2 linked regions of the Caenorhabditis elegans genome follow. The protein of the gene in region 2 interacts with the protein of the main gene of each other region in a biochemical or structural test. Each region holds a gene or a part of one and is shown on either strand. Other genes may lie near its edges.

Region 1 (3,106 bases), on a different chromosome or scaffold from region 2:
ATTTGCCTTTCCACAAAAAAATTCATATTCAGATTCTGCAGGTATTCGTTAAAATTTAGGAAAAGCAACAAAATAGATCGGAGCCAGGCAGCATATGCTATTACCTGCAAACACTTCAGCAATAACTCGGATTCCTCTCGTAAATAAATTTCGAAAATATAAACTTTTCTTAAAATATTTGGCACATATTGTTGGCACAACCTTTTTAAAATCATTGGTGGACCTACAAAGTGATGTCCAAATATGAAAATAAAGACGAGAAACGAAACGAACTAATAATACCCGCGGCTTAATTTGAGGACAACAAACGACAGCTTCTCCATGTTTTTTGCAAAGTTGATCCTTGGAGGGCAATTTTGACAACACGTGCTGTAAAAATTTGCGGATACCAAGCCTACAGTTGATTTGTGATGTACCAATTATGAGCACGATAAATCGCGAGCCAAAACGACCACTGTTCACATTTCTGTATTTTGAGAGTTGCGATAGGCGCATTGTGCGCAATGTTGGTGGGCATGGCGGTACTTTCACAATGCTGTTGCTGCGAGGCTCTGACTCTCACGAATATTTAGTTTTGCTTTGTTTTTACGTTCGTTATATCCTTGGAATGTCATTCTCGTACCTGAAACCACCTGGAAACTGTTTTCGTTTACGCATTCTTAACCCGGAAATGTGTTTCTCGCCAAAACACAAGTTCAGCTGCAAAAATAAACTTTTTCGAGTGAATCAGGAATTTCAGAAGTTTATCAGAGACTTGTTTTTACAAAATCTACACATGTGACTGGAATTTTCAAACGTTTGAGGTAAATATTTTCAGTTTATGATGAATACGTAACTGAGATAAATTAAATAAATAATCTTTAAGTTCACAGTCTGAATAGTCTGCAAAACCGGACACTCAAACTCTAACAATTGTTTAATTTGCCTGTCAAGGCAATTCTAATCACTCAAAAAGTGCAAGAAGCGCACTTGTTCCCTAAAGAATGCTTCTAATCCCTTTGTACGAATTTGTACTGTCAACGAACTGTGTGGTGGAATGAGGAAGACGCAGCAAATAATCCATTGACAAACTGGGCGGGTCCGTCAAATCCGTGTGGCAAACAACTGACAGTCTAACTAACTGTTGCTGCTCATTTTCAATCAGTGCGAGCTGGCCTCCTTCCGTCGTCTACATTTCTTATTGATTATTCGGCATTCTGTTAGGAAGCATCAATGTGTTGTGACCGTTGTTACGGTCAATTTGCAAATTGAAAAAATGACCGTAATCCCGTTCACAATACATTGTTCGTTTTCTCCAAAGGTGATTCATTAAGTAAAAAGGGAATGTGGGTGTGCAAATGTGAATGTTCTGCTGGTTTACAACCGTGGTTTACAACCAGACAGCTAAAAACGCATGCCTGGATATTAGAGAGTGACGACTATATCCATATTTATTTTGACTATTCCGTCGGCTCGAATTCCTGGTAAGATTTTCTTGTTCACATTTGAATAGGACAAATAGTGATTTCACTCGTTTTTCTTCCTTTTCTGTCTTTTATTAATTTCCTTTTTTTTTGAAAATAGCCGGAATCGTTTTTTTTTGTCGGCCAAGAGGTGAGTAGGTGTAGTACAGCAGGGGTGATAAGCCAAAGCGTCACAAGACCGGTGGCTCCCAGAACGGAAATTAAAAAAGGTGGGACTTTGGGCGGCTTAAAGTGTCACTGGTCTGGACGAGTAGATATTCGACACCCCTCTTGCACATATTATTTGTTAGTCTGACTGAGTTTTCTCAGTCATTCAACATAAACTGTTCACATTTCTACAGGAACAATGCTTCTCTGGATCGTCGCCACTTTGCTCATTTTTAGCCTTCCAGTGTCAACGGCTTTAGATTATAATGGTAATTGATTTTTCATCAGTATCACTAAAACATTTTGAGAATCTAACCATGATTTAATAGTAGGTATATAGTATATCAAGTATGTACATGTAATACAATAATCCCTTATAAAAATCTACATCTTTCAGATTTCTCCTTGCAACGAATTGCTCGGGCTCCACATCCATCATCTGCTCTCTTAGTGCCATACCCAAGAGTCGGAAAACGAAGTAACATTTTGAAGTAGGTTCAAGCAAAATGAAAAATACATTTTATGTAAAAAAGTTTTAAAATTTTGTTTTTCAGTAACAATTCCGAATCACAAAACTCTGTCCAAAAGAGACTCTACATGGCGCGTGTTGGAAAACGAGCATTTTTCTACACTCCACGTATTGGGAAATAATGACGAGGATACTCCAGACGGACCGGCTATAACTGACACTTTTCATTTTGATCAATCCTTATTTCCCTCTTTCCCCTTGTTCTTCTGTCACGTTCCTTTCTTTTTTCATGAATGTATGTACACTATATTATCACAACAACACAAATCGACAAAATTTTTTTGACCTTTTCTATTAAATTTTTTTAATTTGAAAGTCTTATTGTGTTTTCTTTTCACTTCCATTTCCTAATATCTTGAACATTTTTCAAATGTGGCAGAATAAAGTGTGCGACGCGTTACCAAAATACACTTTGATTTTTGATCTCACTCGATTTCGAGGAGATCTGTTCCGTTTTTGACGTTTTTTTTTCTGACAACGACAATTAAAAATTGAGAACAAGAAAAACAACATCTCGTGTTTGTTGAATTGATACATTGGGTTTATAACGAAGCACAGATGTATTTTCTGGCGGTATTGCTTTTAGTATGGGAAGATGTTAACGTTCGTGTTTTTTGTCGGTGGATTTTAATCGCTATTTCTCAATTCCAGCTGAAAAATTTTCAACTTTTTTTGTATGTAATGTCAATAACACGTTTTTCTTGTTAGAAAAATAATTATTTTGCAGCTGCCAACTTTGATCACCTATAGTAATTTCCCTATCATTCATAATTACGCTTCCGTTGGTCAAACTTTGCTCGAAAATTATAGATTTAAAGTTTTCAGTAATCAAGTGTTCATAAAATCATGTACGTTCATGCTATTTTGAGACTATTCGAATTTTTTGGAAGTTTTTTTTTTTTTCGAGCCAATGATGTGATTGAAAAGAATTTGTTATTTGTTTGATTCCCCAATGCTTTCATGTCAT
Region 2 (4,252 bases):
ATGTGTCTTCCTCCAAACGTTATGTACATATTGATAGACACAAAACCATCACGGCAAATAATGAACGGAAGGAGAAATAGTGTATGACTGTCAGTAAAATAAATTGAAGCTTCGGATTTTGAAAATGATCAAAGAAAAACATGTGGGCAATAAAATTAATAAAATTTAATAAGCATTAAAATTCTAGTTGTTTTATCTGATATCTGATAGCTTTTGCAACAAGGCAAGACCACATCATTACGTCACAAAGATATCAAGTTTAGTTATTCGGTGTTCCAAATGAGACTTGCGAGAAACGAAAAAAGACAAGTTAGTCTTTTTGCGCAATAGTTTTTATGGTATGATTGGAACGCAATGACTTCTATCTCAGAAGTTTTTACGTAATAGATTTCGCATAACTTGATGTTTTGGTTAAGAGAGGGAAAGTTTAAGGGACAATATTGATTAGCATTCAATGCAATCAATGCAATAATGAATATAAACATTTTTGTAGCTGTAGAAAAATTGAATGAGAATTGGCTTTTCGCAAAGTGCCCTGGTTTGGATAACCTTCAATATGAAAGTTTTCACTCACAATGACTTTGTTTTTGAATTTTTGAGGCAAAAACGGTTTTATCAAACAATCGGTTTCAAAGATATGTTTCATAGAGGATGTAGTCAAATAAAAGCAAAAATAAAATCGTGTGTTAGCATTATGTCAGTAGTTGTGTACTTCCAATTTACGATGGGGCTTATCTACACGTACACTTCCACGTGTCATGAGAGTTCTTTGTTCGGCTTCTGTTGAGGAAGAGCATCTTCTGAAATTTGTTGCTGGGTGTATTTTATGTCAAACACGCTTCGAACTTACTTTGACTGCCCTGGTCTCTGATGACCTTTAAACACAAAATTAGCAATATGGTCCCCTAGAATGGTCCGACAAAATGCACTTCGATACTTTTGAGACAGAATGTTGTACAGAATTGGGTTCGCAGCAGAGTTTGAATAATAGCAAAATCCTGAGATGTAGAAGACAATCATAGATAGGAATTGCACCGGAGGTGATATTGTCGTGGTTTCGGACCACGTCGTATAGACAGATAAAAGTCGCTGAATATGGAATGGAAGCCAGCAAATGAAAAATGTGATGACAACCGATACTAAAATTAAGGTAAAAGTTATAGCTCTAATCAATATCCTTTGAGAACTTACACAACATCTTCAGAACTGTCCTATTGCTTTTGTTCCTTCTTTTCTTTACCATTTTATCTCCTTTCAAGTCAATTTCTGATGATTCTAGTTGAACGGCAATATGCGCGTACATAATAACGATCGCAATCGCTGGAATAACAAAAAACACAGTGAATGCAAATATAATAATCATTTTTTGTTGATCCGGACGACTTTGGTTCATTGCACAGAATTCGGTGTGAAGTACGAATATTCCATCCGTTGAGACCGGGAAAATTCGATTATTCAGGACTCCGACTGCAAAAAAACTAACCTTGTTAGTCCATGGTTGATATTTTGCGTCTTCTGGAAGGGGGAGTTTGTTGATTTGAACTATGAATGCAATTGGTAGAGCGCAAACGAATGAAATAGTCCAAGCAAGAATAATAAGAACATTGGCTCTCCAGAGAGTTGAGAATATTTTTGAACGAAGTGGATGGCTGAAACTAGTTTACATTGATCATATTTCACAAGCAACTTTTCTCGGCAAATTCGATATCCTAAGATCCTCCAATCTCTTCCAAAAATAATACAAAAAAGAACCAAATTTTACCAAATTTGAATTTAATTTTTTTGAAATTTTACCAAATGCTTACCAAATTGCCAGCCACCGCTCAAATGAAAAACAACAAATAATCATTATTGATGCATATGAAGTGAACTCAATGAGAAAAGCCCGAGCTTTACAAATTCCCTCACTGAATCGATATGGATATGAGTAATCAAGGGATTGGTAGAACTCCATGGGGAGCCCTAAAACATTTTGCGTGAAACTTTTGAGTCAGAGAAAAATCACCTAATATCAAGGCAATAATATCTGAAACCGCCAAACTGAATAAATAGTAATTTGTTGGATTGTGCATAGATTTGTTTGCTGCAATTACGATACATGTGCAAATATTTCCGAATAATCCAAGTAGAAAAATAGTTCCATAAATAATGACTGTTGGAATTACTATTCCTGCCTGTAAAAACTAAAGTAAATATAAAACATTTAAAGGTTGAAGCTTACCGATTGGCACCGTTCACCTAGAGTAGACAATACATATTCAGTGATTTCAGACACATTGTATTCCACTGTGCATTGGGACATCTAGAATTTTTGAATACGTTAGAAAAAATTAACTATTATTTAACCAGATAGTAGTGAAGACAAAAGTAAATTTTTGAAAAAAAAAAGGAATTTTGGAATCAGTTTGGCTAATAGTTAAAAATTAGCAGGTGAAAATATAATTCAATTCTGAATTCAGATGAAAAGTAGTTTTTTTTACATTTTAGATTATATGGCATTTGGGTATTTTCTCTCATCTAACTGCGCACAACACAAAAATTTCAATCTCATATTTTCTTGGAACTCATTCTTGCATGTTTTCTAACAAACTTTACAAAATATTTTGTGCCACAAAAAATTCCAATCACCACGAAAGCTCATCCTCAACAAACTTTACTCTTTCTATTTGTTTTTCTTGTGGATTTCGTCTTTTTTTCTAGAAAAAAAAAACAAAGTTACATTTAAGTAGATGAGGGGTCCTAGCGTGTGAATTCAATTAATCATTTTAGTTCAATAGAGTCCAAACTTTCCTATTGCAGTTTTAGATGATCAGTTGGGGTGTGGAAAAATAGTGAATAGTATTCAAGTTTATACTTGTACAATTTTTGTTGCTATCCTAACACAAACAAATTTTGAAAGATTTTGTTGAGGAATTTTAAATTTATCTAAATTCAGGAAGTTTGTCCTGTTTTGGTCTGTTTTCCCAATAATAATTCCGGGAGTCAAGACAGGAAAAAAAACCAATTTTTCATGGTCATATAACTAATAAACACCTTCTTTCCGTCGTCATCTCTAATTCATTAGATTTGTTGGCTATTCTATAGGAATTGATGATTTTTGCTAGGAAGTAGCTTTTTTCACGAATTTGTTTGATTTTTTTTTTGGAATTTTTCCATGTATAGAGATAGCCGGCTAAATTTAAAAATTGATCAGGAGACTCAAATTTTTGAATTTTTTCCAACATTTAACAAAAATTAATGTAGCCGAAAGATTTTTTATTAAGAATACGTTTTGTAATTTCAATGTGCTCAGAAAAAATCCAAAAGCTAAAAAAAAATCAAATTTGCAAAAAAAATCATTTTATTTTCTATAAACTCGATCAAAAAAATTCTTCATGAAAACACAGCAGGAGTCCAAAAATATGAAAATCCTCATTCTTCTCTCACAAAACACTCATAAAAACTAGAAGCATTGTGATATGGGAATTTTGAAACAGACGACGGAAAAAGAAGGGAGATCTGCAAAGAAATATTGGAAGTTTTCAAAAAACAACAATATTAAGCGCATGCTAAAAATGAGCATTTCAAAAAAAAGTAACGCAGTTTTTCAGCAATAATATGTACTAAAATACTAAGAAAGAGGTCAATTTGAAAAATTACCTCATTGCCAAAAAAACCTTCAGGATGGGTAAATCAAAAAAAAAAAAAAATCTAAGTAAGTTATCCAAATGCGGTATTTAGCGGTATTGTCATGAAAATACATGAGAAAATAGGGCAATCCCGAAAAAAATTAACAGAAAATACTAAACTTCCCGGTGTTTGAGAAAAATTGTAGTTGCTACAAAAAAATTTTTAAAATTTTTAATAAGCTTCTTTTCTTAGCCTCCATTTTGTTTAAGCACGTTTTCAAACAAAATCAACATATAGGGATGAAAGAAATTTCAACTTAAAAAAAACCGCAACATTGCGAAAAGGATTCGCACTACATCACAACTTTTTCAAATTTTTTAGTGACCATCTGGGACCCTTCCCATCTTTTTCTTTGACCAGAAATGAGTATACTAGAGACTTTTAGAATATATCTACAAAATAAAACAGAAAGTTTCATTATTGCAAAATTTACACAAAAAGCAGCAATATGTACATGAGACTAGTTTTAAAATATATATTCACAAAGTTCAAAATGTGCCCGTTTTGTATTGTTATCGTTGTAATTTAATTTTCCCGCTTCTTTTCATGCTTGTGACAATAGAAGGTACTACGGAGTTGGGGC

Evidence for each region.
Region 1: of the proteins of nmur-2 (region 2) and capa-1, one has a biochemical effect on the other in vitro, tested with the Caenorhabditis elegans proteins (2 studies listed by BioGRID, with this or other methods).

The regions. Positions count from the first base shown.
Region 1 is NC_003284.9:5,917,957-5,921,062, forward strand, and holds capa-1 (LYMARV-amide), read left to right. Parts: upstream 1-1,803; 5' UTR 1,804-1,809; coding exon 1,810-1,879; intron 1,880-2,007; coding exon 2,008-2,101; intron 2,102-2,164; coding exon 2,165-2,261; 3' UTR 2,262-2,538; downstream 2,539-3,106. UniProt on the Caenorhabditis elegans protein: Encodes at least three neuropeptides: two of the periviscerokinin family (APHPSSALLVPYPRV-amide and LYMARV-amide) and one pyrokinin (AFFYTPRI-amide).
Region 2 is NC_003280.10:122,701-126,952, forward strand, and holds nmur-2 (Neuromedin U receptor homolog nmur-2), read right to left. Parts: upstream 2,305-4,252; 5' UTR 2,303-2,304; coding exon 2,222-2,302; intron 2,175-2,221; coding exon 2,006-2,174; intron 1,963-2,005; coding exon 1,806-1,962; intron 1,650-1,805; coding exon 1,484-1,649; intron 1,439-1,483; coding exon 1,192-1,438; intron 1,140-1,191; coding exon 851-1,139; intron 801-850; coding exon 698-800; 3' UTR 570-697; downstream 1-569. Other genes in the region: srd-3 (Serpentine receptor class delta-3), read right to left, coding at 4,238-4,252. UniProt on the Caenorhabditis elegans protein: Putative G protein-coupled receptor for pyrokinin-like neuropeptide derived from the processing of the neuropeptide precursor capa-1.